7 linked regions of the Macaca fascicularis genome follow. The protein of the gene in region 3 purifies or fractionates together with the protein of the main gene of each other region. This does not show direct contact. Links are inferred from orthologs where the notes say so. Each region holds a gene or a part of one and is shown on either strand. Other genes may lie near its edges. The genes, in order: TRRAP, PHF10, ACTL6A, DPF3, SMARCC1, BRD8 and SMARCD3.

Region 1 (3,500 bases), on a different chromosome or scaffold from region 3:
AAGGCTGGCTGCGTACAGCCTAAAAGTTTGTGCTCAGAGAAAAACCAGCACGATGGGTTCATCATCTGTTTCTCAAACCAAACGGGTTTTCTGTACACTTGTTACAAAGGTCTGTACAAAAGCAGGAAGCTGCTGTGAGGTGTTATTTCCGAAAGAGTTAAAAATGGATGGTAAGGAGCGGTTCGCACAGTCCCGCCTGTACGTTCACAGACAGAGGACACCATAAAAAAAGGGCTCACCCAGAAATTCCAGACCGGAGAATCCTGGTTTCTTAAAAGATTATTTTAAAAGCTTGCAGGAAGTTTCAGCTCTGCCATTTCTAACCGCCTCGCCCAGCGTCGTCATAGTTCAGCTTCCTCTAAAACTAAATTCTCCCTCTCACACACCAACTACCAGGAAAATAACTGCAACCCAGTGGAACCGCGGGGCTTCTGAGAATAAAAGGAACGAGGCAGGGACAAGTCGTATAAGCTGCGGGCTCAGAGCCTGGGGCGCCCTTCACATTGCGGGTGGCCATGGCGGCCGCGGTCACAGCCAGGGGTGCCAGGCAGGGTCCATGCGGCACAGATTGTCCAGGCTGTTCGCTGCGGCCACCAGGGTGTTCACCTTGCTTTCCCCGCCTTCGAACTGGGCGAGGTTGTGCAGGCGGGTCATGATGGCGGTGACGGCTTTCTGAACCAGGGACACCAGTTGCTGGCTGTCCATGTTCTCCGGTTGCCCGGCGGCCGAGAGAGGAGAGGACGTGTCCTCCTGCGTTTTTTTGTGCCAAGCAATGATCTCATCCCGGAGAACTGTTTTCAGAATGCCGTCCACCTGCGTGAGGGAGAGAACGAGAGGACGTGTGTTTAACCAAGAACAGCCCAGAGGGGCAGCTTCCTAACAGGGTGGGACTCAACCACAGTGGCCGCCCAGGGCCACCGAGGGCCCGTCAAGCCTCAGCACCAGGCCAGGCTGTGTGCTCTCAGGATGGGCTGGGGAAGCCGCTGAGGGACAAACCCCTTCCTCCACTTGGAGCAGCAGCCAGAAAGCCTCCGTGTTGGGCAGCACAGACCCGGACGGCAAAGGCAGCCATGCTGCGACTGGGGCCCGATCTTTTTATTTGTTCACTTGACGCCTTCCAGCGTCTGCCCAGTGTCCAGCAGGCCCATTCCAAGCACTACAGACGAGAGTGAACCAAAGAGAAAACCATCCCTTGCCCGCACAGCAAAGGACGTAACACGGGTGCCGGCCACTGTGGAGAACGCAGAGCCCGTGAGGCAGATCAGCAGCTCCTGCAAGGCCGTGGCGCTTGGGCATCTGAGTGGCCCCAGCCTGTGCCCATGACAGGACGACGCGGAGACCCACCTTAAAGTTCGGCTGGGCGAAGCACCGGGCAACCGCAATCATGGATGCCGTCAACGGGCCGGAGACACCGATGGTAGTCAGAAACTCAGAAATGTTGGGCGTGAGTCGAAACGGGACAGGACGGTTGGCATCTAGGTCTCCAGTGGCGTCGTTTATGTCAAACCGAAAGTAGGCAACATTCAGTTTGCCAGTGTCCTAAATTTCAGAAGGAGACACTTTAGGAACTTCAGCAGAAAGGCAATGTCACGAGGAGAGGATCTGGCAGTTCAAACCAGGTTACCTGAGCGATCTGTAACATCTCGGGGTTGAGTCTATTTAAATGCAGGACGAATTCCGCGAAGCCTATCAGAGCCAGCTGGATGGTGAACATCTTCCGGAACGTCCAGTAGTCCGTGGCGTTGGGGAAGGTGTGCAGCGCCCACTCCTTGAGCATGCTGCGTGGCACCATGTTACTCTGAACCTCCTTGAGGATGTCGCGGAGGACCTGAAACACATCACCCCGTGACACTCCCATCTCACTCACTGATTTTTTTTTTTTGGCAAAAGAAAAACTCTCAAATTGCAATTCCTCTTTAACTTAGCACCGAGAGTAAATTCTGGTGACAGATTTAACACGCGCATTGTTAGGAGACTGAACGTGAGGAGGCGCAAGATGGCTGCCTCCGTCCAGGGTTCGCCGCCGTCTGCTCTAAAGCACCAACGCAGCTGGTCTGCGCCAAAGCCGCAGTTACCTGACATGCGATACCTGACAAGAATGCAGGCAAGTATCTGACACTTCCACCCTTGCTGACCACAGAAGGTATCAGGCCAATTAACAGAACACAACAGCCGGACACCAGCAGCACCACTTCCAACCAAGACCTTATACTAATGACCAATATTTCACAAACTGAAGGAGCTGGTCTAACCACACACACACTCGAGACTGAACTCCGTACTCATGGACTATTGCAGACATCACCAACTCAGAAAGTTTCCTTAGTTAATGGAGTTCCTGTTCGACCATCTGGTAGAGGCACAGGGTCTCTTCCAGACTAAGTCCTACCCACGTGCTCCGAATGGCCGTGAGGCAGAACGTGAGAAAGGTCGTGAGAAAGTTCTTGCCTTCCACCGGGAAGAACAAGGCAGGCCACTGGCCACACACGCAGTTTGTTTCCTCATCTGTCAAACGGGAAGGAGCACTTCTGAGACGGCAAAGGATTTCCAAAGTCTGCTCCTGAAGCAGTTAGAATGCTGGCAAAACCACCAAAATCAACTTTGTCAGAACTCTAGGAACTAAAGGCTTACAAGTCTGAGGAGCTTTTTTTAAAATTTATTTAAAAAAACCCAAAAAAACAAAGGCTGGGCTGGGCATGGTGGCTCACGCCTGTAATCCCAGCACTTTGGGAGGTCGAGGCGGGCAGATCACAAGGTCAGGAGTTTGAGGCCAGCCTGGTCAACATGGTGAAACCCCGTCTCTACTAAAAATACAAAAATTAGCCAGGCGTGGTGGCGGGCACCTGTAATCTCAGCTACTCAGGAGGCTGAGGCAGGAGAATTGCTTGAACCCAGGAGGCGGAGGTTGTGGTAAGCCGAGATCATGCCACTGCACTCCAGCCTGGGCGACAAGAGCAAAACTCCATCTCAACAAAAAAAGAGAAAAAGAGAGAAGAATGAAGGAGTAGAATAAATAACAAAACAAACAAGAGGCACATAGAGGAGGAAGTGGCTCTGAAGCTGGATTCCTCTGTGCTGTGGGCATCTCCCTCTGCCGACAGGCCCTGACAGCTGCTAACCTGGAACAAACATCCCAGTTGGACACTCACGCTGTTTAGAAACAGGATGACTCTGGGGTCAGCACGTATTTGTCACTGGCTTCCACGATGTCGAAAGTTAATGTTGCCTTAAGAATATAATCCATTCTTCTCCTGCAAATACCTCAGAACTGCCCATTGTCCACAGAATGACCAGGCCATGGCCTGTGCCACAAAAAAGCCCTGGCATCAGTTCCCACGAGAGGCCATGCACTCTGTCAACAGAGGCTGATCAGAAACAGGGATCCATGCCTCTGCCTGCAGAGCTGGAGGCTGCACCTGACCCTGCAGCCTGGAACACCTTGGGCCCTGCCGTGCCCTGGGCCACAGAGGACACCATGGGCTCAACCTTCCTCAACCACA
Region 2 (4,095 bases), on a different chromosome or scaffold from region 3:
GCAAGACCTGGAATAAAATTTAAAACTGATCTTCAATCCAATCAAAATAAGAGTATTTTCAATTAACCCGTAAATGTAAATCTGCTTTTGCTTTCTTGCCAACTGAGGTTAAAATGCTTTCTGCTCTTCATAAACACATAAAACTGCTGCATCACTCTAGGATTAAAGCAAACTCTCCTACCCAAGCCCAGGGGGGAAAAAATGTATGGATCATTTACAGTTCCCAGTTCAACTTGGAGTCGGTTCATAGGACTATTTTAATTGACTAGGCATTTATGTCCCCATGAAAAGGGGACATACAAGACTGAAAACAATTCTAACTATTCACTCTTCCTCTTACATTGCTAAAGGTTAGCAAAAATATACCCTAGTAAGGGTCATCAATCTATAATATAGCAACACACACTTCAAAAAAAGAACCTTGAGAGGGGGAGGGGAATTTTTTTTTTTTAAGGAAGAGGCTTATATATTTTTAATGTAATACATTATGTGGCAAGAACATGAAGGTTATAAATTCAAACACTGCACTCAGAAAATGTATCAGATGTTAGGAAATTGATTTATTTACTTATCAGCCAAAGCTTAAGGTCTAAAAAAATCATAATTTTTAAAATGTAATATAGCTTTTAACGCTAATCCAATTTTGCTAAATATCATGGTGTTCTTGCTACATATTAAAATGAAAGGAATCCTACAAAAGAATATAAAGTGGCAATATGGTATAGTGGCCAGGCATGCCAGAGCTGGACGGCCTAGGTTCTCACTGGGCACCGTCCCTTACTAGCTGAGTAAGTTACTCTCTGTAAGCATCTCCTTATCTGAAAATTTGAGATTATAACAGAGCCCCTATTACATGGCTAATTCAATGATTAAATGAGCTACTATATTAAAAGTACTTAGAACAAGGACTAGCGAATTATCTGACAAATACTAGTTAAAATGATGATTATGATAATAAAGTCTCAAATGTCCCTAGCTCCTAGGAATTTACTGGTTCCTTTCCAAATAGTAAAATATATAATCTTTTTCAGTCCTTATAAAATTAGCATTTCATTAAAGAGCTCTGCACAGTCTAAATCTACTCTCTGAAAATTTGCATAAGTATCACAACTGCAACATTTCATATTCAATACTTTTAACATAACTCATTTTAAACATTCCAGTATTTTTTTTCTATTTTATTTGTGAGCATTTTAAGGATTTTTATGTCCTTAAACTTAAGTATATTTCCCTTTAGCTAAAAAATTGAGACACTCAAAAATATACAAAAATAGTTAAAAATGCAAAGTGCTCAAAAAAGCTGAGACTACAATTTCAAAAAGTGTTTTAAATTACTAGTACAAATTCTAGGCAAAGGCATTATTATACAAAGTGAGCATCTGGGCAGAGAGCCTTTTTCTAGAGAGAGGTAGTAACAGCAATATTGTTCCCAATACACGACGGAATAAGGTAAGAATTTCCGTGTAATCGCAATACTGATACACAGGCCCATGTTTTCAAAGACTCCCAAATGTACTAAATCAGAGATGTGCCTTCCAGAGTTATAGGTGGTTTCCACCTACGGATCAGATGAATTTCTATGCATCACGTCCTTCTTAAGGCTCAGGGGTCAAGAATGCACTCAGTGGGCACTAGCTCAGTGCCCTCCAGGTGCCGGGCCAGACGTCAAACACTGGAAGTGCAAGGCTGTGCATTCAGAGTCTTACAATCTAGTTACTTCCATTGGCGAGGGCCTTTGAGGAACCTTCAAAACAAGTCTTTCTCTTACGGCACGACAGACGTGCGCAACGGGAAAAGCTCCCGGGCAGGCGCAGCCCCGCTAGGCTGCCACAGGATGGCTTCCCCTGCCAACGCGCACACCGCACACCGCACACCGTACGAAGGCTGGCTGGCTCTGAAGCATTTCAGTTCCCGCCGCCTTCTAATTTCAACCCAATTTCAAGTTTCGAGGCTTTTAAAACATCATTCCTCCCTTCCAACCTTCTGTCACAAACTGCTAGCCTAACTTTGGAACCAAAACGTTTTGATGCGTGACACTCTACTGCTCATCTCCATTTTCTCCACAAACACCAATTTTTCACCTCCTCAAGCAGTAAAAAGTTTAAAAAAAAAAAGACTTCCGCCGAAAACATCCGGACGCTTGCGTATTTACTTAGTTATTACACTAAGTTCACAAACTGAGTGTGTTGATTTTCCATATCGTTCGCCACTCGGTTTTTTGCAGTAAGCTTTCAAACACTTCAGCAAACTATGCGCGGAATGAAGACTGAGCGAACTAGCGCGCTTCTGCAGGCCCCTCCGAGGCCAACTCTTTCGGCCCCGGACGCGTTCCGTTCCGCGGCTAGCCCCGGAACAGGCGTTTTGGGGACAAGCTTGTCAAGCGGGGCCGGCCGCCAACTTCGGGGAAGCCGCGCCGCGTCCCCCGCCCGCCCGCCCGCCCGCCCGCACTTGTTGCTCGCTAGAGGCCGCGGGCTCCCCTCGGGGCCCCGCCTGGCCGACCACCCCCGGTTTCAGGCGCGGAGCCCGGCCTGGGGCCCACGCCCCCGAGACGCTAGGCGGCCGCCGGTGGGACTGGGCCGAGGCCCCGGCACACGGGCCCCGGACGGGGTCAGGGTCGGGTCGCACCGGCCGCTTCCTCACCTTCGGGGACTGCGCTCCGGGGGTAGCTGGGTCGCTGTCGCACGGCCGCGGGGACAGCGCAGCCCCGGGCCCGGCCGCCGCCGCCATCAGCCCGAGCGCCCCGCGCCGCCGCCGACGCCGTCGCCTCCGCCTCGTCCCGGCCGCCGCCGCCGCTGCCGCCGCCGCCGCCGCCGCCGCGCGGGCCCCCCGCCGCCCCGGCCCCGCCCCCTCCGCCCGCCCGCCCGGGGGCCGGCCCCTGCCGCCGCGCGCCCCGCGGCCCGCCAGCGCCGCCGCCACCGCCATGGCCGCCGCCAGCGCGCTGCCCGCGCGGGAGGGCGCCAGAGGCTGGAAGGGCGCGGGGCTGCGGGCCGGAATGGAGGAGGCCAGGCGGCGGCGGCGCTTCTCTCGTCAGCCCAACCCGCCCGGCCGCGGCCGCCGCCTCAGCACCGCCGCCCCCCACAGCTCCGCCGATGGCCTAAGCGCCGCTGCCCCCCCCACAGCGCCGCCGCGGCTCCCTTCAGCCCCGCCGCTCGCTCGCCTCAGCGCCACCGCCGCCTCAGCCCCGCCGCTCCCCTCAACCCCACAGCCGCCTCAGCCCCCCTGCTCCCCTCAGCCCCGCGGCCGCCTCAGCCCCGCCGCCGCCTGACTCCCCACGGCCCGGCGCTGTACTCGACCGCGGCTCCCCCCAGCCCGCGGCGCGCCCCACCTCCCGCCCGCCCTCCGGCCCGCCCCGGCCCGGCTCGTCGCCACTTGGCGCGCTCGCAGCCGCCCCCTCCCCGCGGCCCCCGGCCCGGCCCCTCCACGCGTCACCCTCGCTCCCTTCCTCTCTCCCGGTGGCGCCCGCCCTGCCCTGCCCCGCCCCGCCCCTCCGGGGGTCCCCGCCCCACCCCCTCCCTGCCGGGGGTCGCCCTGCTCGGAGCAGCCGCGCGGAGACTGCGCGGCCTCCGCCTCCGTGCGCTCGCAGTCGTCGCTCCTCGCCCGCCTTTGTTCTCGGACCGCCCCTCTCGCTGGCGACGCTCCGAGAGAGCCGCGGAGCCACCTGCCAGGGCCGCGCTTCCCCGAGCATCCAAAGCTGTCCCCGCGGGCTGTCGACGCCCGCGCCGGAGCGTGCGGGAGGCACGGCGGGAAGAAGTCGCTGAGATTTGGCCCTCGCGGCTTTGCGTTCCCGCGTGGTTGATGCCTCCGCCGAGAACGCGGTCGGCCGGGAGCCGGGGAGGAGCCTGGACGCCGGCCTGGCAGGTACCCCCGCGAGAACGTGGGAGCCGGTGGGTTTCAGATGCATTTATTACTGATGTCGGGCTGCATCAGGGCACTTCTAGGACCGCACTGAAAACAGCGGGAAGTGAGGAGCCGAGCCTGGTCCGGGGCGGCCCGCCATACAGCTGGCTTGCGTCTCCAGATGACTTGTTCTGGAGAGTAAAAAATGCTGTCGGATTTAAAGTACAATCCTGTCTCCTTTCCATTCATTAGTGTTGC
Region 3 (4,194 bases):
CAATATCTGGTAGCAGTCTCACTTCCTGCCTCATACACTGACTTACTGGGTAATATGTCATCTCCTGAACACACCACATACTCTCAGCTAACCTTTGCATATGTTGTCCCTTTCCACTCCTCCTCCATCATCTCCATTACCTCTATTGTAAAGTCCCTTGACTCCACCACATGGAATCAATAACTTTATTCTCTGAACTACTTTTGCACTATATATATATAACATATGTAAATATATATAACATATATAAATATATAACATATAAATATATATAACATATATAACATAAAAATTATATATATTATATATATAAATTATATATAACATATATAAATATATATGTTTGTTTTTGTTTTTTTAGGATACAGTCCTGCTCTGTCACCCAGGCTGGAGTGCAGTTCCGGGTTCAAGTGATTCTTGTGCCTCAGCCTCCCCAGTAGCTGGGACTCCAGGCATGTGCCACCATGCCTGGCTAATTTTTGTATTTTTAGTAGAGACAGGGTTTTGTCATGTTGGCCAGGTTGATCTTGAACTCCTGGCCTCAAGTGATCCGCCCGCCTCAGCCTCCCAAGTTGTTGGGATTACAGGTGTGAGCCACCGCACCTGGCCCCTTCTACATATTGTTATCAATGAACAGCTCTCATTGAATTACAGTTACCATTTCTGATCAATATAAGATGCTATCAACTACATGATGCACCACTATTTCCGGCATCACTAAGAAAATAATATGGCAATTAAAACTCTGCCAGGCCAGCACTACTGAGACATATTCTGGCTGGGGGCAGTGGCTCAAACCTGTAATCCTAGCACTTTGGGAGGCTGAGGCGGGAGGACTGCCTGAGCTCAGGAGTTCAAGACCCGTCTCTATTAAAAACAAACAAACAAACAAAAGACATATTCCAACTTCAGCTGTTTAAATGTGGGAAAAATGTACAATTAAGAATCGGTGAAATATGGTGTCTATTTACCTAACGGATTCATCTACAAGACTGAACTTCTTGATGACAACAGCCTATACCTGCCACATAGTGCTCAAAAAACATTTTTGTGAAATAGAAAAAAATCCAACATATCAGCTCATTTTCCTGCCCTAATTAGTAAACTGGATATGGTGGAAGTTTAATTTAAGACTCTAAATTCTTAGAATTTTACATCTGTTCCTTTTTCAGGATGGGAGATACATCTAATTCCTGTACCCTGCTTCATTAAAAATCAAGCCCCATGAACCCTAAGTAGGAGAGTGGCAATGGGAGGCAGGAGGCTTAGTAGAAAGAACCACAGAGTTCTGGATGTTTAAAACCTAGGATGCAATTTCTAGTGTATAAAAATCCTCAAGAATTGAACCTCGGCCGGGCGCGGGGGCTCAAGCCTGTAATCTCAGCACTTTGGGAGGCCGAGACGGGCGGATCACGATGTCAGGAGATCGAGGCCATCCTGGCTAACACGGTGAAACCCCGTCTCTACTAAAAAATACAGAAAAACTAGCCAGGCGAGGTGGCGGGCGCCTGTAGTCCCAGCTACTCGGGAGGCTGAGGCAGGAGAATGACGTAAACCCGGCCACTGCACTCCAGCCCACTCCAGCCCGGGCGACAGAGCAGGACTCCGTCTCAAAAAAAAAAAAAAAAAAAAAAAAAAAAAAAAAAATTGAACCTCTATTCTACTAAAAAGGCTTTTTTTTCTTTTTTGAGGATTTAAATGTTTTTCTCCTTCCAAGTTTAGGGGTGATGTGATTTTCTTGGGGAACATGAAGGAAAAATCTTATTTTTGTTGTATCTTACCTGTAAAATGACATCCTTTATAGAAACAGCATCACTACTAGACACAGCAACAATAGCAATAGTCTGGATTTGTTTTCTGGGTCTCTAACTCATCAAACACAACCCAAAACATTAATTATATGTATCAGTGTTTTGATTCACCTGCAGATCTTGCAAAAATGGAGGCTCTAAATCAGTAGATTTTGAATGACGCGTGAGATTCTGCATTTCTAACAGGCTTGCAGGTGATGCTGACACTGCTGGTCCATGGACCAGACTTTAAGTGGCAAATGTAGCATTATTTCATTTAACCTTCACGCCCATCCCCATTGGCTAGGAATTATTCCACAAATGAGGCCTGAAGTTGGAAAATTATGTAAATTGCCTAAGACCAAAGCGCTCAACAGTGAGGCGGATATTTCAACTCAGGTCTGTAACCCCCCGCACCTGGTAATCTTTCTGCCATACCAGTCTAATCAAGGATAAGTGAAAAAACAAGACGTCTAGGACCCCCGGCAAACTTTCTGGGCATCCTTAAACTACACGTGCTCCTGAATTAATCTCAAACAGACCCGCCCACGAGTCACTCTGGAGACTCCGCAGCCAACAAACAGGCAGGAGTTACTGAAAGGTGAGGCAGCTCGCGCATGGGGCACAGACAGGGAGGAGGCAGTACCCTAAGTGGCCGCCGCTTCCCTAGTCAGTTCTACGGCTTGAGGCTCGCATTGCCACCTGTGAGACGCTCTGGGAACCCTCCGTCCACGCTTGCAAACCGCCGGGACCTTCCAAGTTTAGGCGCGAGCACATGCGCCCCGACACAGCCGAGTCCAGGAGGCACTCGTGGAGATGCGACCCTGGGGCGGTAACGCAAGCCGGGCCCGGCGGCCGGCTGGACTGAGCTTCCCGCCCAGCCCCGAGGCTCTCTAGAGAAACGAGCGTGCATCCCAAAACCCTGCTTCTCCGGGGGCAGAGGCAGGAACCGGCCACAGAGAGCCACCACTCCAGGGCGCCCGAGGCGCTGGCCGAGCCTGGTGGGCTCCGGGGGCGGGCAGAGCGTGGGGCGGGGATGGGGCGGGGAGGCCGGGGTCCCGAGAGGGGGAAACCGGAAGGGAACGCCGAGGAGGGGAGGGCTGGGAGCGGCGGTTACAAACCCCACACGCCGAAAACGCGCGCTCTCTCCTCCGGCCGCACTCACTCACCTCCCCCGTACACGCCGCCGCTCATGGCTGCTGCCGGCGCGACCCCTACCCTAAGGGCTAACTGGAGAAGTGACTGCAGTGGCCCCGACTGCGAGTCCCGAGAAGCGATAGCCCCTGACTCCCTTAACTTCCACCGCCACCCCCCTCAGGCAACAAAGCGGCGTCCACACACCCCGGAGCTCAGCTACACTTGCTGTCTCCTCCTATCAGCCAATCACGAGGGTCCAGGCCTACGTTTAGTCAATCAGAATGCGGCTGCGCCGCATCCCCGCCGCGGCCCAGCAGGTTTAGCCAATCGAAGGCAGCCATGGGGGCGGGGAAAGAGGAAAGCGACAGCCGGACAGAAGGAGTTGGGTTGCGGAGCTGAAGCGGGCGGAGCTTCCCGGGTGGGCGAGAGAGTGGGCGGAGGCAGTGGGAGAAGAAGGAGGAAGGCTGGAGGGAAGCATGGGAGGGGCGTAAGAGGTGCGGCTGGGCGCTGAGGAGCTGCGGGAACCTGGGTAGGGGAAGGTAGACTTCTGGAAATTGAACGTGTGTCTCAACGCTGAGATTCCTGTCCAGTGACTGTGGGCAATGTGGATTTCTTTCTTTTTTTCTTCAGAAAAAGTATTTTAAACTAACTTTAGGTTGAAGAAATAAAAATTTTGCGCTCCACTTTGGGATAGGGGAATCAGTAAATCAGACAAATTGATAGGATCTTGTAATTTTTTAAATGGTTATTAATAAGTAAAAGAAGAATGAAATGATGCATTATCCCAGCTAAACCTAGGTAGCGCTTTAAAAACGATTTAAAAAATCAATTTCTTAAAAAAAAAAAAAAAAAATTTCAGGCCGGGTGTGGTGGCTCACCCGTGTAATCCCAGCACTTTGGGAGGCCGAGGCGGGTAGATCACGAGGTCAGGAGTTCGAGACCAGCCTGGTCAACACAGTGAAACCCCGTCTCTACTAAAAATACGAAAATTAGCTGGGCGTGGTGGCACACACCTGTAGTCCCAGCTACTTGGGAGGCTGAGGCAGGAGAATCGCTTGAACCCAGGAGGTGGAGTGTCCGGAGCTGCACGCCCCGGCCATAGTGAATAATAATTAAAGATTAAACGCCTGAGCTATATTCATTTCCACCCCACACCTTCTCCCTAGATTTACCTTCTTCCCTGTATTAATACTGCCATTAAAAGATGGCGCTCTTCCTGCTTCTTTTTCATTCTTTTTTCCCGCGCCTGCGAAAAGACTACCTGACT
Region 4 (3,984 bases), on a different chromosome or scaffold from region 3:
TTTGTGTGACCATTTTCTGTAGGGGGCGTCCGTGGTGTTGGCTTTTTTTTTTTTTTTTTTTTTTTTTTTTTTTTTTTTGGAGGGAAGAGAGAGACTCAGAACGCACACAGAGAAAATGCTAATGTCATTCAGCTCTGTTTCATTGTCAGGAGGGACACATGAGGATAAAAACATAGCTCTCCAAACCATTCTCTCCGCTACCCCTCCTCCCTGCACCACCACCATCCCTTCGGCTGGATGTGTCTCTGCACTTTGTTCTAATTTATCCCATGCATAATTTATTCACGTTTGTATTGTTTCCTGATCAGCAACTTTTAAAAACAAATGAAATATATAAGATGTTTTATTAAACAAGTTGTTTAAAAAAAAAAAAAAAGGCAGATGGTGTCCGTCTCCCAATAACAACGTGTGTGCTCCTGCATTAGGAGTTAAAAACTGTCCAGGGTGTGAGAGGCTGGGCTGGTCAGGGGTATTGTTTACACCCCTTTACCCCCAGGGAAAGGGTCTGGGAAGCAGAAAGGAATGGCTAATTATAAATGACCACTCAACTCCCACCTAGAAAAAGCAAGCAGGGGCGTTGTGTGTATGCTAGTGTGTGCATGCGTGTGGCGGCACAATTACAAATACATCACATTGCAACTGTTTCTAATTATACAAAGTACAATTCAGAACTAATTCCCCTAACCAGCCGGGATTCCGCCACCTTCTTTCCCCCCCGTCTGTCCCTTCCCCCACCCTTAACCCCACCCTACACAGACTCCCTCCCCAAACGCGCACCCTACTGTGATCCAAAAAAACCCTGGAGCGAGCAGGGGAACACTGAAGCTTAGAGATACTGCGCCCGCCCGCGCGAAAGCGGGCTCCCGGGTAACTAGGGTACGGCTTTCCCAGTAGGAAACAAACCTGGTGCACATGTGAAATAGATTCTCTAACTTGAGTTTACCAGGTGGCATCAGCCTGGTTATGTGATTTCGGCTGGATATGGGGAAACTGCAAATCAGTTGTGGGTTCGGTAGAGACAGCATCAGCGGTGTTGCAGCGAAAGCAACCGGCAGCGAGGATGCGGCGAAGTTACGCCCATTTATTCTGCCATAAAACATTTTCTTTCTTGGATGAAACGCTGTGGCGTTCAAGTGCAGTGTATCCGAGCTTCCGAGGCAGAACTGAAGCCGGGAGCTCCTATCTGCTCAGCCTCAGCTTCCAACGTCCTCTTAACGGCAGCTTTCATATAAATATCTTTGAAACCTGGGGCATTCCTACCCGTTTCCCTATTTCTGGTGGGCGACGAGCTGGTGCAAACACGTCTGATTCTCCCTGTGCATTCCTTTGCGTTAGGAACCCCCCTACCGTCTCCGGGAGCGAACCTGGTTTTCAACTCCAGGAGTGGCGAGGGGTGAAGACGAGAATGCGCTGAATTAAAAGAAGCAGGGTCGACAGTGGCCACGCACCAGGGAGAATTCGGCACGAACCGCCCCCTACCCGGCCCGCACCTCCCTCTCCCCCTCTTTGCCTGCGGCTTCGTCCGGGCGGGGAAGTCCCGGTCGAAGGGGTGCGGACCCCCAGCCCACCTCGAATACGGAGGGAGCCACCCTCTGCCGACATCACCCAATAGCACCCCTTTCAGAGCGACACTAGTTTTCCGAGGCCACCCTTGGCTCCGCGATCGCGAGCGGACTTGGCGGCTTAACAGTTCCACCGACTGGAAGGAAGGAAGGAAGGAAGCCAGGATGAAAAGGAGGAGGAAGGCAGGCAGGCAGGCAGAAATTGGCTGTTGGACCCGGGGCTGGCCCCCGCGAGTGCTCGTCCGGCCCGCCCCACTCTGTCCAGGATCTGGACAAGCGCTCAAAGTCTCCCCGGGGCGGCCAGAGGCACCTGCCCCTCGCCCGGCCGGGAGCAGACGCTGCCCCCTCGGGCCAGGAGCCCCAAAACCGCCTCTCCGCCTGCCTCGGCGCCTCACCCAGAGGTGGCGAGAACACCATTCATAAGACCTGCGGCTTCCCTGCCTCCAAATCCACCCCAAGTTAACCCGAGTCGTTAATCCACTACAGCCAGGTTGCTCGCAAACACACGAGCAGACACACGCGCGGTCGCCCGGAGCGCCTCCGAGATCCGGGGGCTGCCGGGGAAAGCCCGGGGCGACCACCTGGGACCCAGCGCGCCCGGGACCCGCTGCTTCCCCCGCGGTGCTCCCAACTCCGGAAGGTTTGCACAAACTCCCCGCGAGCGATCGGAAGGCGAAGAGCGCCCTGCAAACTCCGGAGCCTCCGCGGTGCGTCCGCCGGACCCAGCAGACCCAGCGGCGGGGCGGGGGCCGCGGGCTTGGGGGTGCAGGGCTCGGCCAAGTGCACCGAGGCAGTCCCGGCCCGACGCTCGCCCCCCGCCCGGCCGCCCCCGGAGCCTCGCTCCCTGCCCGCGAGGCGGGGGACTCCAGGGACCGCGCTGTCCCCGAGCTCCCGCGACCCCCCTGCTGTAGAGCGCTCGAGCGCCGGGCTCCTCCGCCGGCAACCCCTATCTCTCGCTCTCTCTGCAATTTAGCAGAACACAAATGTAACAATTTTCTTCTTGTTAATTGCATCTCCTGACATTTCTGCGCGTTGGGGGAAAAAAAAGAAGTAAGAGCTGAAAGAAGAGAGAAGCCCCGCCGCGGCTGGAGGCGCCTGCAAGCGCAAGCACTGGCAGCGCTCGCCACGCAGAAGGCGCCTTTTTTTTCATATTGAAACCACGCGGAATATGTACATTTTTTAGTCTTACTTACGCTTTCAGGGGGTTGTGAATGACAGTCGCCATTTTGCTACAATGTAACAGAATATTGTCTGTCTCAGAGTTCTAAAGGTTCGCTCAGGGGAAGCGACAGGCCAATCAGAGCGCGGGATACCGGCCCGCCGGCCAATCGGCGCGGCTGGTCGCCAGGTGGGCGGGGCCTGCTCGGTGGTAGTTATTAGGGGAGCTGTCAAAGCCCAGAGGTCACTCCCTTTTGTAGAGCCCGAGAGCCAGCAGGTCTTAAAGGGGAAGTACCGCGTTGGCAGCTCCTTTTCGGGCTGGGGAAAGTGGAGACGCACGGGAGAATATTATAGTTTGGTTCAACTCCCTACTTTTCTAAATAACTGCAGAGTTTGCGCTCCTGGACAGAAATATTTCAATATTGCCAGCAAGCCACTGAATCCTATTCATTAGCTTTTGGCTTTGCATATCAACATTTTTAATCCCCCAAAGGGTAAATCCCCGTGTTTCAGTACAAAAGTTGGAAGGCTGCCGCTTCGTGTAACAAATTACTTCGTGTGCTTTGCCGTTTGCTAATGCTCTGGGTCCTGCTGCTTTTTAATATTCTTATTCCCGAAGTGTTCTCTTTATCTCCGCCACCTTCCTCTCTCGCTTCTTGGAACTGCCGCTGCTGTTCCTGGCGACTCCAGGACAGCAACTCACCCTCCCCCTGGAATGCCTCAATGTCAGGCTCACTCCCTCCTGCAGCCAGGGCTTTCTTTACGTAGTGCAGGGGGGTTACTCTGCGCGGTCCGCCGCTACCACCCCTTCTGTTCTGCTCCCTACACCAGAAACTTCCAAAATGCTCAGATTCCTGCTCGGTGGTGCGACCTGGAGCTCTGACCTTTAGGCTTAGAGGTAGGGAGGACTTGAGGCAACCTTTGGAAACTTTCTACTACTAGGAAGCAAGTGCCTAGGCAGAAGTCGTAGAGCCTGGACTGGGTGTTGTCAGAGTCCCTTTAGAGGAGTGGCACACGCGATTCTGACGTCACCTTTCACTACTTAGAAGGTGGAAAGAATTTGCTAGTGAATAATCCGATGTGACCCGAGGCGTCCAAAGAGTCTGTGTCTGCTTCAAGTCAGTGTGAACTCTTCACTGGCGAGCCCCTGACAAAATTGGGAGACTTCTGCGAAGTCAGGCTTCCACTGGGCACCGGGAAGCTCTGCGTGGATGAAACCGCATTAAATCGAGAATAGGGTAGGGGCCTCGTTAGCATACAGAAG
Region 5 (4,270 bases), about 19 Mb from region 3:
AATGCATTGTGTAGAAAAGAAGCAAAGAACCTTCTGATAATATTTTCACCACTTCGACACTAACACCCAGAGACTGAAAAGATTCTGGCTGTCAGGCCTAGGGCATATATGATTCTCAATCTCAGTAGACCACAGAAATACACTCTGGCTTTACAAAGTCCTGAGAAGTCAAAGACAACTTTGTCTATAAAGTCTCAGGGATAGTGAATCAACATTAGCCTAGTGGTCTCAATACTACTGGGCAATTCTTCAAACTGCTTTGTAGCCACTTCCCTACCCACCCAAACAAATATCTGAAGATGATTATCCACACCTAAAGCTTCTTGTAGTTGGTCCCAAACTGATGCACACTGAACAGTGTGGAGAGGTAGAAATTACTGAAATTTGCCTTTTTCTACTCTCTTCCTTGATATTCAAAGGAACATCTCTAGATTATTTTTCTTTGTTAAAGCTTCACTGAATTTAAGACCCAAAGCATTGGCTAAAAGGAATGTAATAAGAAAGAATTAACCAATATTTTCATAACATATTCAATCCCACTAGCCACTCCTGGAAGCTCTATTACCTACGTTTAAAAAGCGCGGTGGCTCACGCCTGTAATCCCAGCACTTTGGGAGGCCGAGGCGGGCGGATCACGAGGTCAGGAGATCGAGACCATCCTGGCGAACACGGTGAAACTTCGTCTCTACTAAAAATACAAAAAAATTAGCCAGGCGTGGTGGTGGGTGCCTGTAATCCCAGCTTCTAGGGAGGCTGAGGCAGGAGAATGGCGTGAACCCGGGAGGCGGTGGAGCTTGCAGTTAGCGGAGATCGCACCACTGCACTCCAGCCTGGGCGACAGACCGAGACTCCGTCTCAAAAATAAAATAAAATAAAATAAAAAGTGACCAATTTATCACTGTGTAAGAAAGGGCAATATTACTAAACATCTAGAGTCTAAATGTAATTTGGGGGGGGGGTCCAAGCACCTAAAAATATAATTACTGTCTCTCACTTCCTCAAACTTCAGACAAGAAATGTAATTTTTCCCAGCTGAACTTCCAAAATAAAAAAGAAAGAAAGAAATGGTCATTTCTGGGGTTTGTTTTTTGCTTGTTTGTTTTTGTTTTTTGAGACAGAGTCTTACTCTATTACCCAGGCTGGAGTGTAATGGTGCGGTCTCGGCTCACTGCAGCCTCTGCCTCCTAGGTTCAAGCTATTCTCCTGCCCCAGCCTCCCGAGTAGCTGGGATTACAGGCGTGTGCTGCCACACCCGACTAATTTTGTATTTTTTGGAAAGACGGGGCTTCACCATGTTGGTCAGGCTGGTCTCGAACTCCTCACTTCAGGTGATCCACCCGCCTCGGCCTCCCAAACCGCGCCCGGCCAGAAATGGTCATTTCCGAATGTACCACGTGTAATGCCAAAGGAACCCAAGATCCCTGCCCATGCCTAATAACTGCCAAACACTGACAGGCTTCACTGAGCTGTAAAGGCCAAATAAATAGGTTCCTAGTTTATCTTTTCATTCATTAAACAAATATTTACTAAGCAGCTACTAAGGGTAAGGCACTAAGTATCAGCCACGTTCCCGGATACACTGTAGTGAACAAAGCCCTTTCTTCAGTGCTATGATCCTCAATAGGAGAAAGTACAGAATTAAAGAGGGTGATAGGAAAACTTCAGAGGCTGGGGAGCCTTTTTGACTACCTGCTTCATTACACCCTTTAAGGGAGTTCTCCGGAATATTTACACAAAGGGGAAGTTGGAGAAAAAAAAAATGTTATAAACAAGGGATTAAGTCAAAACTTTGAAAACTACTGACTCGGCGGAACTTCCATTCCAAAGGTAGGATAAATAAGTAAATGACTAATTTCAAAATGTGGTAAACACTACGAAGAAAATAAAGGTGACATAAGAAAAGTGCTCTAATAAAAACTGGGTTCTCGGAAGGCCTCCCTGAAGAACACTTTACGTACAAGTGAACATTAACTCTCACGCCACACAGAACCAGAAGCACAATGAGGTAGAAACCGTCGTTAATAGCTCTCATCCATCCTAGAATTCACATTACCTGTTAGTAATTAACGAATACAATCATCCCAGTCGTTTAGCAAATCAACAACAGGTAGCAAACCCCCTCGAGACTTTGAATACTCTCTAAACAAAACTTGAAGCTGCTTTTACCACGCTTGCTCGGTCTTTAGGGATCATTGTTCATACACCTAAGGCAGCTGACAAAAGAGAGTCACACTCGCCTAGTGGCTGAGCTCGACCTGCTCTGGCACACGAGACTGAGCAGGGGCTTTCGCCAGGGGTGCGTGGGCTCACAAGAACAAGCGCCTGACCCGTCAGGCCACCGGCGCGCGGGCGCCCAGAGCGGACGGCGGGGGCGTGGCGGGCCCTGCGCCTGCCTTTGTTGTCCCTCGTGGCGTGCGGGGGGGAGGGGAGGCCCGAGGCCCGCGAGGCCAGATGCCGCCTCCGGCCCCAGTCGCGTGGTCTCCCGGCCCCCATGGGCGCGCGAACCCACCTTCTTGTAGTGCTTGCCCAGCCAGACCCGCACCGAATCCAGCTGGGACACCGTCTCCGGGCTCTCCCAAAACTTGGTGGCCGGACCCCCATCCTTCCGCCGATAAACGGCTAGGCCTGCGGCTACCGCCGCGGCCCCCGAGCCCGTGGCGCCTACCGCTGCCCCAGGCCCGCCGCCGCCCGCCGCTGCGGCCATCGTCGCAGCCCGTCGTCCCCACAGCCTGGCCCACCCCAGCCCTCGCGGTGTTTCCCGTTCGTTCCCGCGCGCGCCCGCGCGCGCGTAGCCGCCACTGCCGCTTCCCGGCCCCGCCCAGCCAACCCCCTTCCGGTGCGGACGCCCGGCCCCGCCCCCTCTCGGGACTGGCGCCGTATCCGACGCGAGCCCGCGCATACGCATGCGCAGCACTCGTGCGGGCGCGCCTTGGACTAGCACGTCCAGCCGCCTCTTCCGCCAGCCTCTGTAGGCTCCGTTCTCCCCTAGTGAGTGCCGGTTATTGAGCCATGCTCTTCCCTCGCTACCGACGTCGAATCGTTATGCGGTTAACAACCGCAGGTTGATTCTGTGTCATAGCCTGCCTCCGCTGAAGGGAAAAGGTCTGGTGCGAGAAGTGCCGAGGGGAAAGCCTGCCTAGGGTATCGAGTGCGCCGGGCCCGGCTTTCCCTTAGACCCTCCACCCCCAGCGGCCCGGCGGCATTTGGGAAGAGCCATCTGGGACGCCCACGCCAAGGCTTTTCGGCTTCACAGACCTTCCACTCCCTCAGGGGTCCAGCCACAGCGGCTCATTCCTGCCCCCACGGGCCCTTGCATCGGCTGTTTCGGAGACCTCAGCGGGTCTTCCCTTCTGATTTTCACTTATGAGACGCGTTCAGATTCACTGGTTCAAAGGACTTCAGAAAGCCGTTGTCATATCTTACAATCTTGAACTGTTCACACCCATACACTTTCTGCGTAGCGCTTACCATGACCCGGTGTTTTTAGTTTCTCATTTACCTTCCACATAAATTACATGAGAACCTAATCTTAACTTGTTCACAGGTGTATCCTGAACACCTGAGACAATGAATACATGTACAGTGAATACTTGATGAATTAATGAATGGCCCATATAGAAGCCGAAAATTTTTAAATTATCAAGGTATGATTGGCCGGGCGTGGAGCACTTTGGGAGGCTGAGGCGGAACGATCGACTGACCTCAGGAGCTCTAGACCGCCACGCCCGTCCCCGTCTCTCCAAAAAAGTACAAAAAGCAGCCGGGCATTGTGTTGCAAGCCTGTGCTCCTAGCCTCTTGGAGGGCTGAGGTGGGAGGATCGCTTGAGCTGGGGAGATGCAGGCTGCTGCAGTGAGCTATAATCGCGCCACTCACGACACCATCCTGGGCGACAGAGCAAAACCCTGTTTCAAAAAGTACGACTGGCCATAATGGAGTTGTGAACATAATGCTATATGATCTCAGAGAAGCAAGTAACTAATTGCTTATGAGAAAGTGACTAACTGCTGATAAGGTTTTGAGACCTTTTAAAAATGAGGGTATGTACGTTTTCAGGATCTCCTGAGGGCTGTGTCACGGACAGTAAAATATATTAAATAAAAAAATGAATAGAATGTGATCAGGAGGGCCAGGCGAGATGGCTCACGCCTGTAATCCCAACACTTTGGGAGGCCAAGGTGGGCTGATCACAAGGTCAGGAGTTCGAGACCAGCCTGGCCAACATAGTGAAACCCCGTCTCTACTAAAACTACAAAAATTAGCCACGCGTGG
Region 6 (3,965 bases), on a different chromosome or scaffold from region 3:
AACATAAATATTTAAATAAAAAAAAAAAAAAAGTCCAGCCTGGGCAACATGACAAAACCCCATCCCTACCAAAAAATACAAAAATGAGCCGGGGATGATGGCATGTGCCTGTAGTCCCAGCTACTCAGGAGGCTGAGGCCAGAGAATCACTTGAGCCCAGGAGGCAGAGGTTGCAGTGAACCAAGATTGCACCACTGCACTCCAGCCTGGGTGACAGTGAGACCCTGTCTGCAAAAAAAAAAAAGCGAACATAATAGAGTTACTACATAACCCAGCAATTTCACTCCTTGAATAAAAAACTCAAGAGAATTAAAAACATTGTCCACAACCTTGTACACAAATGTGCGTATCATCAGCATTATTCATAATGGTCAAAAAGTGGAAACAACCCAATTGTCTATCAAGCGATGGATAAACAAAATTTGGTATATTCATATAACAGATTATTATTCAGCTAAAAAAGGAATTAAGTATTGATACATGCTATATAAGAATGAACCTTAAAAGCGTTATGTCAGCCAGGTGCGGTGGCTCACTCCTGTAATCCCAGCACTTTGGGAGGCCGAGGTGGGCTGATCACGAGGTCAGGAGATCAAGACCACCCTGGCTGACATGGTGAAAGCCCGTCTCTACTAAAAATAAAAAAAAATTAGCTGAGCGTGGTGGCGGGCGCCTGTAGTCCCAGATATTCGAGAGGCTAAGGCAGGAGAATGGCATGAACCCAGGAGGCGGAACTTGCAGTGAGCCAAGATTGCGCCACTGCACTCCAGCCTGGGCAACAAAGCAAGAGCCTCAAAAAATAAAAAATAAAAAAAATAAAAATAAAGAAAATGTTCTAAAATTAGATTGTGGTAATGGCTGCACAACTGTGAATATACTAAAAACCATTATATTGTACATCTTAAGTAAGTTAATTTTATAGTATGTGAATTATATCTCAATAAAGCTGTTTAAAAAAAAAAAATACAGCTGGCCTGGTGGCTCACACCCGTAATCCCAGTAGGTTGGGAGGTTGAGGTGGGCAGATCGCTTGAACCCAGGAGTTCAAGACCAGCCTAGGAAACATGATGAAACCCCTATCTCTACAAAAAAATACAAAAAATTATCTGGGCATGGTGGTGTGCACCTGTAGTCCCAGCTACTAAAGAGGCTGAGGTGGGAGGATCACTTGAGCCTCAGACATGGAGGTTGCAGTGAGCCAAGATCACACCACTGCACTCCAGCCTGGGCCACAAAGTGCAACCCTGTCTCAAAAAAAAAAAAAAAAGGCCGGCAGCAGTGGCTCACGCCTGTAATCCCAGCACTTTCGGAGGCCGAGGTGGGCAGATCATGAGGTCAGGTGATTGAGACCAGCGTGGCCAACATGGTGAAACCTTGTCTCTACTAAAAATACAAAATTAGCCAGGCATGGCCAGGCGCAGTGGCTTACGCCTGTAATCCTAGCACTTTGGGAGGCTGAGGCCAGTGGATCACCTGAGGTCAGGAGTTCGAGACCAGCCTGGCCAACATGGCGAAACTCTGTCTCTACTAAAAACTAAAAAAATTAGCTGGGCGTGGCTGCACCACTGCATTCCAGCCTGGGCGAGAGAAGGAGACTGTCTCAAAAAAAAAAAAAAAAAAAAAAGGGAAGAAGAAAAAGTCTACTTACAGCTTAATATGATTAACTACAGAAATCTATCAATGTGAAAGAGTATCTAACAATTTCTAAGACCCAGAAAAGCTGACATCCTAGATAGCTTACCAATTTTGATCTCCACTTCTCATGACAGAAGATGCTAAACACAGCTTCTCTCGGATGGACCATGGCTCTGTGGGGCCAGTACTCAGCAGCTTGTGTTCTGGGAAACGAAAAAAAAAAAAAAGCCTTGGAAGCAACCACTGAGACTGTAGTGCTAAGCTCCAAAATCCCCAAAAAGGGGACTAAAAGCCTAATACAAAATATTCCAACTTGTTAGGACAAAGTGAGCTACTATCACCAAATCTTGATTTTCACCTCTCCAAGTGAAGTATCACCAGTGACTGTGGTACCAATTTGTTGCATGTGAATTATTAACATTTTATTTCTTAAAACGCCACGGCTTGAAGCTCCGCTTTATTAAAAAATTGGGAATGTCAGATTAGGCAGTTCTCCCTAAAAGCCCAGTTTTAAGAATACTGGACTTTATTCCAGTTTGAACTTATTCAGGGCTTATTTCCCAGGAACCCGAGCGGCCAGCCCCTCCTACAACCCCGCCTCCCTCTTAGCATAAACTTGTTTACTTCTCTCAGATCCTCTACTCCAAATGTCGGGCCTAAAAGACCTTTTCAGTCCACTAAAAGAAAAATGGCTGAAATCCCCGAGATGCAATTTCCTGAGTGGCAAGAAAAGCTCATGGTTAAAAGGCCCCACTTCCACTGCCTCACAAACGTCGAACAAAAAATGAATGGCTCTTTGAGGTGCCGGTTACTCCGTCTGGCTCATAACATCTTTTCGTCTGCACGCCCAAGTTTCTAGAGTGCTTTTACGGTTACCCCGAAGGGCTCCTAACACACTAGGATTCACTAAGCTCCTTCTCTCACACCTCCGCTCCCTCCCTGAGAAACAAGACCCCAGATTTCTGGGCCCCCAAACGTTGGTCTTCACGATGCTGTGGAGCGCAGGTCTCTGAAAACCCTGAGCTCTCAAGCAAACCACTTCTCCCACTCCCTAAGCGTGTAACAAAAATATGGTGCCTAGCCTCGGATCTACAAACGCCTTTCACGCAAAACCTGCTCAGATACTCACTGCCCGTTCCCGTCGCCATCTTGGCCCCGAAGTCTCCAACCCTGAGGAGAGACGGTCTGGTAGGGCCGAAACCCTGGAATTCTGGGAAGTAGAGTACCGGCGTTGGTTCGCGGTGCCTCCTGGGAAATGTCGTTTTTTCCCCTAAGACAAAGCAAGCACCCTAAACCAGTTATCTTGTGCAATCCTTTTAAGATTTTTGCTAAGGAAGGACAGGGGTTGGCGGCTGAAGCCTCAAGATTTCCTTTAGGGTTCTTAGGTAAGAAATGTCTAAGGTTCAAGAAAAAGGGTTAAGCTGGAAGAATCCCAAGCGAAATAACTCCTAACCCGCGACAGTTGGTAACCCGGACCCACATTAGATCTGAGAGGTCAAGCGGATGCAAACTACTGGAATTCCAGTCGGACCCGCCCCTTTTCCTTACGCAGATTGGTAGCTGCAGACTTCCCTATCTCATTGGCCGAACGAACGCAGCGCGTAATTTAAAATATTGTATCGGTAACAAAGCTGCACCTCGTGGGCGGAGTTGTGCTCTCCGGCTGCGAAAGTCCAGGTTCGGCGACTAGGTGTGAGTGAGCCGGTACCCGAGGAGGAGCAAGTGGCACGTCTTCGGGTGAGTGTGCGGCTGTGCTGGAGCCCGGGTTACCAGCTCTTGCCCACGCGGAATAGGCTTTAAGAAATCGGAACTGCAGCCATCTGTTTTTCTCTTAATGCTGCATCTCTGTTCTCACGGTGGTCCTTGGGTTGAGGTTAGAAAAGGAGCCGAGGGATCCTGACACCACCTCCACAGCACCGGCGGGCGAGGTGCCCTACTTTAGGCCTGGCCTTTTGCTTTTGGAGCCAGATTTCTGTGGACTTCTGTTCGCTTTCAGAAATGCAACCTCAAACTTCTCTCGATTGTTCATTAAGTGAACTTCTCTCATTCCATTCCCCTTTGCCGATAATTAGAGGGGAAAGGAAGTAGGGAGCGGGACCCGGTGTCCTGGGGCAAGGGACTTATTACCTAAAATTCGCGGCCCCTTCTGTCCCTAAAGGTTGTTCTCCCTGCCCACTTTTTGGTCTCTTTTTAGACCTAGGCTGCCCCTGCCGTCATGTCGCAAGGGATCCTTTCTCCGCCAGCGGGCTTGCTGTCCGATGACGATGTCGTAGTCTCTCCCATGTTTGAGTCCACAGCTGCAGATTTGGGGTCTGTGGTACGCAAGAACC
Region 7 (3,500 bases), on a different chromosome or scaffold from region 3:
AGAGACCTGGGCCGGGACGTACATCATCCAGGAGCTTCCCCTCCACCCGTAGCTCCCAGGAGGCAATGCTGCCATCGGAGTCCTCAGCGTCAGGCTTCGCAGGGTTAAAAGTGTTGGAGATATAGAGACGCAGCTTCCGCTTTTGCTGTAGAAATAGAGTGTAGAACCGGGCAAATGCTGTGTGCTTCCACCCTGACTACCTTGCTTCCCCATCCTGGTCACGCGACTCAAGAGTCCCCTTCCTACCCCCGAACTAAGGCACCTTCATGGGCCTCTTCAGAGCCTCCTGGATGTCCACCCGCTTCCGCATGATGGTTTGATCCAGTTTCCTCTCAAATGCCAAGAGGTCCATGTAAGCCTGGGACTCGGGGACCAGCTCCCGAATCTGGAGGAGGAGGAGCAGGGCAGGAGTCAGAGGCTCGAGTCCAGGGTTGTACCATGGAATGTATGCATGTTGTGCAATCCTAGGGTGCAAAAGATGTCGGGGGAGCCATCCTACTTCTGGGCATGGAGCTTTGACAGTGGGAACAGGACCTCTCCCCAGGATGCCATTATCCAGCAGTAGGGGCCTTGCTGTGTAGGGATAACAATTGCTTCTCCCTTTAGGAAGAGCCTTGTGTATCATCACGGGGAGGAGGTAGCAACTGTGGAACCCAGCAAAGCACTAGCCTTTAGTCTCCTCATCCTGTCATTTTCTATGTCATATGCCCACTGGGCTTCCCCTGGGCCCCTGCAAAGTGCCTAGTAGGGGCTCAATCCCTGGGACAGTTGGACAGCAGTGCTTTCTTCTTTGCTGGCACATTGCTCAGCCCCCACACCTGTCCCAACTGTGCTGTCCCCCATATCCAGCTGGACCTGGGTCCCTTTAGGATGCTCAGGATCTCTGGCCACCTTCTATCCCCTTCATTCTGCCTGGCAGCTTTTGATCCCCTAGCTCTTGCCCCCTTCTTGTCCCACAACTCTGTCTTAGTACCACTTGGATCCAGCCCCCTGACAGGCCCCTGTGTTCTGGCCCCAGTGGCTCTGCTGCTTCCCTCCACCTCACCCCCTCCCTCTGGCCTAGGGAGCCTCACTTATTAATGAGTTTTTTTAAACAAAAAGTGAAAGTGACTGTGACACTGAAGCTCTGCTTTTGAGGGGGGAGGGGAGGGCAGAGCAGCAAAGGGTAGGGGGTGGGCTGGGGGCTGCTGTGAAAGACACTCACCCTTTGAGGGAGGATTTTGTCAGCCATCTTCCTCCTCTTGGCACTGTACATTTTTTAAAGAAAAAACCAGGTTACCATGGCGACAGATCTGGGAGTAACGAGGCCACCTGCTAAATTATCCCGACATCTCCGCCCGCCTGGCTGGGGTTCCCACAGCCCGCTTGTCTGCCCGCCCAAGGGCTATGACGGTGGTGTGTGGAACTGGTGCTCTGTCCTCTCTAAGGACACAGGGGTGACCCGTCCATTCTCTGGCCTGGGAGCCCCCTTCTAACCTGCCACATCCTTAGGGACAGAGAAATTTAGACTTAGGAGGGACTGGCGAGTGGGGGTGGTGCTGCCAAAAGATGGGAGCTGCAGAAGTGTTTGAGGAAAGGTGGGGATGAGGGAGGACAAAGGAGAGGGAAGCCAGGTCTGAGGACCTTTTCTGGAAAGCAGGGGGTGCCCTGTCCAAAGGATTCTAAGCTCAGAGGGAGGGAGATAGACGACTTCCTTCCTATCCATGGAGCGGAGGTGATGGTGTGAAGCTGGCGGGACTTGCATCCCTTCCAGGCACCCTGGGCTTGCAAGAGAATGCTGATGAGCAGGGGTACTCATGCCCTGGGACTACCTGGCAACAAGGTGAGGGACATGCTGCAGCCATAGGCGCCCAGAATGTGCATGGGTGTGACTTCAGGCTGAGGCCAAATTGACTAGGCCCAGGGTAGTAGCAGCTGGATGTGAGCTCTTTCTGACCCACTAGCTGCTGCTGACTAACCCAAAAACCCCCAGAAAAACCTTGGCGGGTCAAGAGATGAAAACGCAGCCTAGAGAATAGCTCCATACTGCCCCCGTGTGGTGTTCTCAACCACTACCCCCTCCCTATGCAGAAATCTAAGGCTAACAAGCAGATTTCATTAAAGGTCTGGTTTGTTTTAGACAGATTATCTTTGTGTAACTCTCCATTTATACAAGATAAATCAGGGAATTACCGTTTGCTGTACAAAATGACGATGCACTTTACAAAATAATTCATCATGGGATTCCTATAAGTGGTGAATTTTCCCTGATGTGTAAAAAATACTTAATAATGAGGTAAAATTGATATTACACCTTTTATAGAAATCCATCTGTTGTGCAAAAAAAGCATGTGTATTTGGCTAAATACTGAAATCCAGAGGGGCACTGCTGTTGCCAGGAGCCAGCAGGGGCTTTGAGGGTGCCACCAGCTGCTGGAGGAAAATAAGGCAATGGGCTGGCCCTGGTGGCTTGGGAGCAGACCTGGTCCAGAGTGCCTAAGAATTAAGAGCGGAACTGGGCAGAGACCACCTACCACAGGGCAAATCCCCAAGCTCCACCCCCAGGGCCAGAGAGTCCCATTGAGAAAATCTGGAGTGGCTTTGAAACAGTCCGGGGTCTGGCAGGAAGGCTCAGCGGAGAACTACACTTTGGGCAACACAGTCCTACAGCTCTGCCCTCAGTCCCACTGGAAGCCCCGCCCCCAACCCAAAGACTTAAGCATCACCCAGAACCTGATGGGTGGAGAGAGGGACTGAGCAGGTGACAAGGAGAAGGGTGAGGGGAGCGTGCAGGGAAGCGGTACCGGCTGCCGACGGCCACAGCCTGTCTCTACCGTGGGCACACAAAAGAATCAGGCCGGTGCCCCCTAAGCCCACCTCCCCAGAGGGCATCCGATCCGGGAAGCCTCGCTCCCTGCTAATCATTCTTCCTCACCTCTTCCAATCCCCGCTACTCTCTCACCTGGTCCCTGCGGGTCCCCAGGGCCCGCCCCTGCACGCCCACTCCGCGCCGGGCCTCCCACTCACCTGCGGCTCCGCGCGGGGGCGGTGGGCACCGGCTGGCCCTGGCTCTGTGCCTGGCTCTGCCCGGGCGGGGGCGCTGCTCGCTTACGGGCGGGCTCCATGCCCGCGGGGGCCAGGCCGGGTCGCACGGCGGGGCTGCCCATGTAGGGGGAGCCCGGGGGGCCCATGGGCGCCCCCTGGTGGGGCATCCGGGCTCCAGACGGCATCCCGGGGCGCTGTGGGTGGGCGGGGGTGAAGCAGAAACGGGCGCCCGTGGGTCAGACCAGGGCCCCCAGCTCCAGGCGCGGTGAGCCGGCGTCTCCCCTCCCCCACCAGACCCTCGGCTGGTGACCCTGAGCGCTGAGCGATGGGTGGGAACGATGGGTAGGAGGGGCAGGGGCGCCGGAATACGCGCGGCTCTGGCGGAGGGGCTTGGCGTCTGGCTGTAGGAAGCTAACTGAAGCCAGGCACCGCACAGGGCATTGCGAGCCTCGGGGCTACGGAAGGTACCGCAAAAA

What was found.
Region 1: the proteins of ACTL6A (region 3) and TRRAP purify together in Homo sapiens (affinity purification with mass spectrometry; 7 studies listed by BioGRID and IntAct, with this or other methods). This does not show direct contact. The link is inferred for Macaca fascicularis from reciprocal best matches to the Homo sapiens genes ACTL6A and TRRAP.
Region 2: the proteins of ACTL6A (region 3) and PHF10 purify together in Homo sapiens (affinity purification with mass spectrometry; 3 studies listed by BioGRID and IntAct, with this or other methods). This does not show direct contact. The link is inferred for Macaca fascicularis from reciprocal best matches to the Homo sapiens genes ACTL6A and PHF10.
Region 4: the proteins of ACTL6A (region 3) and DPF3 purify together in Homo sapiens (affinity purification with mass spectrometry; 4 studies listed by BioGRID and IntAct, counting the BioPlex papers as one, with this or other methods). This does not show direct contact. The link is inferred for Macaca fascicularis from reciprocal best matches to the Homo sapiens genes ACTL6A and DPF3.
Region 5: the proteins of ACTL6A (region 3) and SMARCC1 fractionate together in Homo sapiens (co-fractionation; 8 studies listed by BioGRID and IntAct, with this or other methods). This does not show direct contact. The link is inferred for Macaca fascicularis from reciprocal best matches to the Homo sapiens genes ACTL6A and SMARCC1.
Region 6: the proteins of ACTL6A (region 3) and BRD8 fractionate together in Homo sapiens (co-fractionation; 4 studies listed by BioGRID and IntAct, with this or other methods). This does not show direct contact. The link is inferred for Macaca fascicularis from reciprocal best matches to the Homo sapiens genes ACTL6A and BRD8.
Region 7: the proteins of ACTL6A (region 3) and SMARCD3 purify together in Homo sapiens (affinity purification with mass spectrometry; 3 studies listed by BioGRID and IntAct, with this or other methods). This does not show direct contact. The link is inferred for Macaca fascicularis from reciprocal best matches to the Homo sapiens genes ACTL6A and SMARCD3.

Annotation. Positions count from the first base shown.
Region 1 is NC_088377.1:47,584,194-47,587,693, reverse strand, and holds part of TRRAP (transformation/transcription domain-associated protein), read right to left. Parts: intron 1,829-3,500; coding exon 1,625-1,828; intron 1,540-1,624; coding exon 1,345-1,539; intron 814-1,344; coding exon 529-813; 3' UTR 1-528. UniProt on the Homo sapiens protein: Adapter protein, which is found in various multiprotein chromatin complexes with histone acetyltransferase activity (HAT), which gives a specific tag for epigenetic transcription activation.
Region 2 is NC_088378.1:1,310,907-1,315,001, reverse strand, and holds the start of PHF10 (PHD finger protein 10), read right to left. Parts: upstream 2,801-4,095; 5' UTR 2,728-2,800; coding exon 2,641-2,727; intron 1-2,640. UniProt on the Homo sapiens protein: Involved in transcription activity regulation by chromatin remodeling. Belongs to the neural progenitors-specific chromatin remodeling complex (npBAF complex) and is required for the proliferation of neural progenitors.
Region 3 is NC_088376.1:91,315,539-91,319,732, reverse strand, and holds the start of ACTL6A (actin-like protein 6A), read right to left. Parts: upstream 2,801-4,194; 5' UTR 2,704-2,800; coding exon 2,493-2,703; exon of another isoform or gene 2,437-2,492; intron 1-2,436.
Region 4 is NC_088381.1:140,763,275-140,767,258, forward strand, and holds the start of DPF3 (zinc finger protein DPF3), read right to left. Parts: upstream 2,801-3,984; 5' UTR 2,788-2,800; coding exon 2,756-2,787; intron 2,750-2,755; exon of another isoform or gene 2,576-2,749; coding exon of another isoform or gene 2,167-2,575; intron 2,117-2,166; coding exon of another isoform or gene 2,043-2,116; exon of another isoform or gene 1,918-2,042; intron 1-1,917. Other genes in the region: uncharacterized protein, read right to left, coding at 2,043-2,116, 2,167-2,575. UniProt on the Homo sapiens protein: Belongs to the neuron-specific chromatin remodeling complex (nBAF complex).
Region 5 is NC_088376.1:110,703,931-110,708,200, forward strand, and holds the start of SMARCC1 (SWI/SNF complex subunit SMARCC1), read right to left. Parts: upstream 2,801-4,270; 5' UTR 2,705-2,800; coding exon 2,510-2,704; intron 1-2,509. UniProt on the Homo sapiens protein: Involved in transcriptional activation and repression of select genes by chromatin remodeling (alteration of DNA-nucleosome topology).
Region 6 is NC_088380.1:144,666,394-144,670,358, forward strand, and holds the start of BRD8 (bromodomain-containing protein 8), read right to left. Parts: upstream 2,801-3,965; 5' UTR 2,784-2,800; coding exon of another isoform or gene 2,765-2,783; intron 1,839-2,764; coding exon of another isoform or gene 1,805-1,838; coding exon 1,742-1,804; intron 1-1,741. Other genes in the region: kinesin-like protein KIF20A, read left to right, coding at 3,851-3,965. UniProt on the Homo sapiens protein: May act as a coactivator during transcriptional activation by hormone-activated nuclear receptors (NR). Isoform 2 stimulates transcriptional activation by AR/DHTR, ESR1/NR3A1, RXRA/NR2B1 and THRB/ERBA2.
Region 7 is NC_088377.1:192,524,447-192,527,946, forward strand, and holds part of SMARCD3 (SWI/SNF-related matrix-associated actin-dependent regulator of chromatin subfamily D member 3), read right to left. Parts: intron 3,219-3,500; coding exon 3,007-3,218; intron 1,248-3,006; coding exon 1,205-1,247; intron 386-1,204; coding exon 263-385; intron 146-262; coding exon 23-145; coding exon of another isoform or gene 7-22; intron 1-6. UniProt on the Homo sapiens protein: Involved in transcriptional activation and repression of select genes by chromatin remodeling (alteration of DNA-nucleosome topology).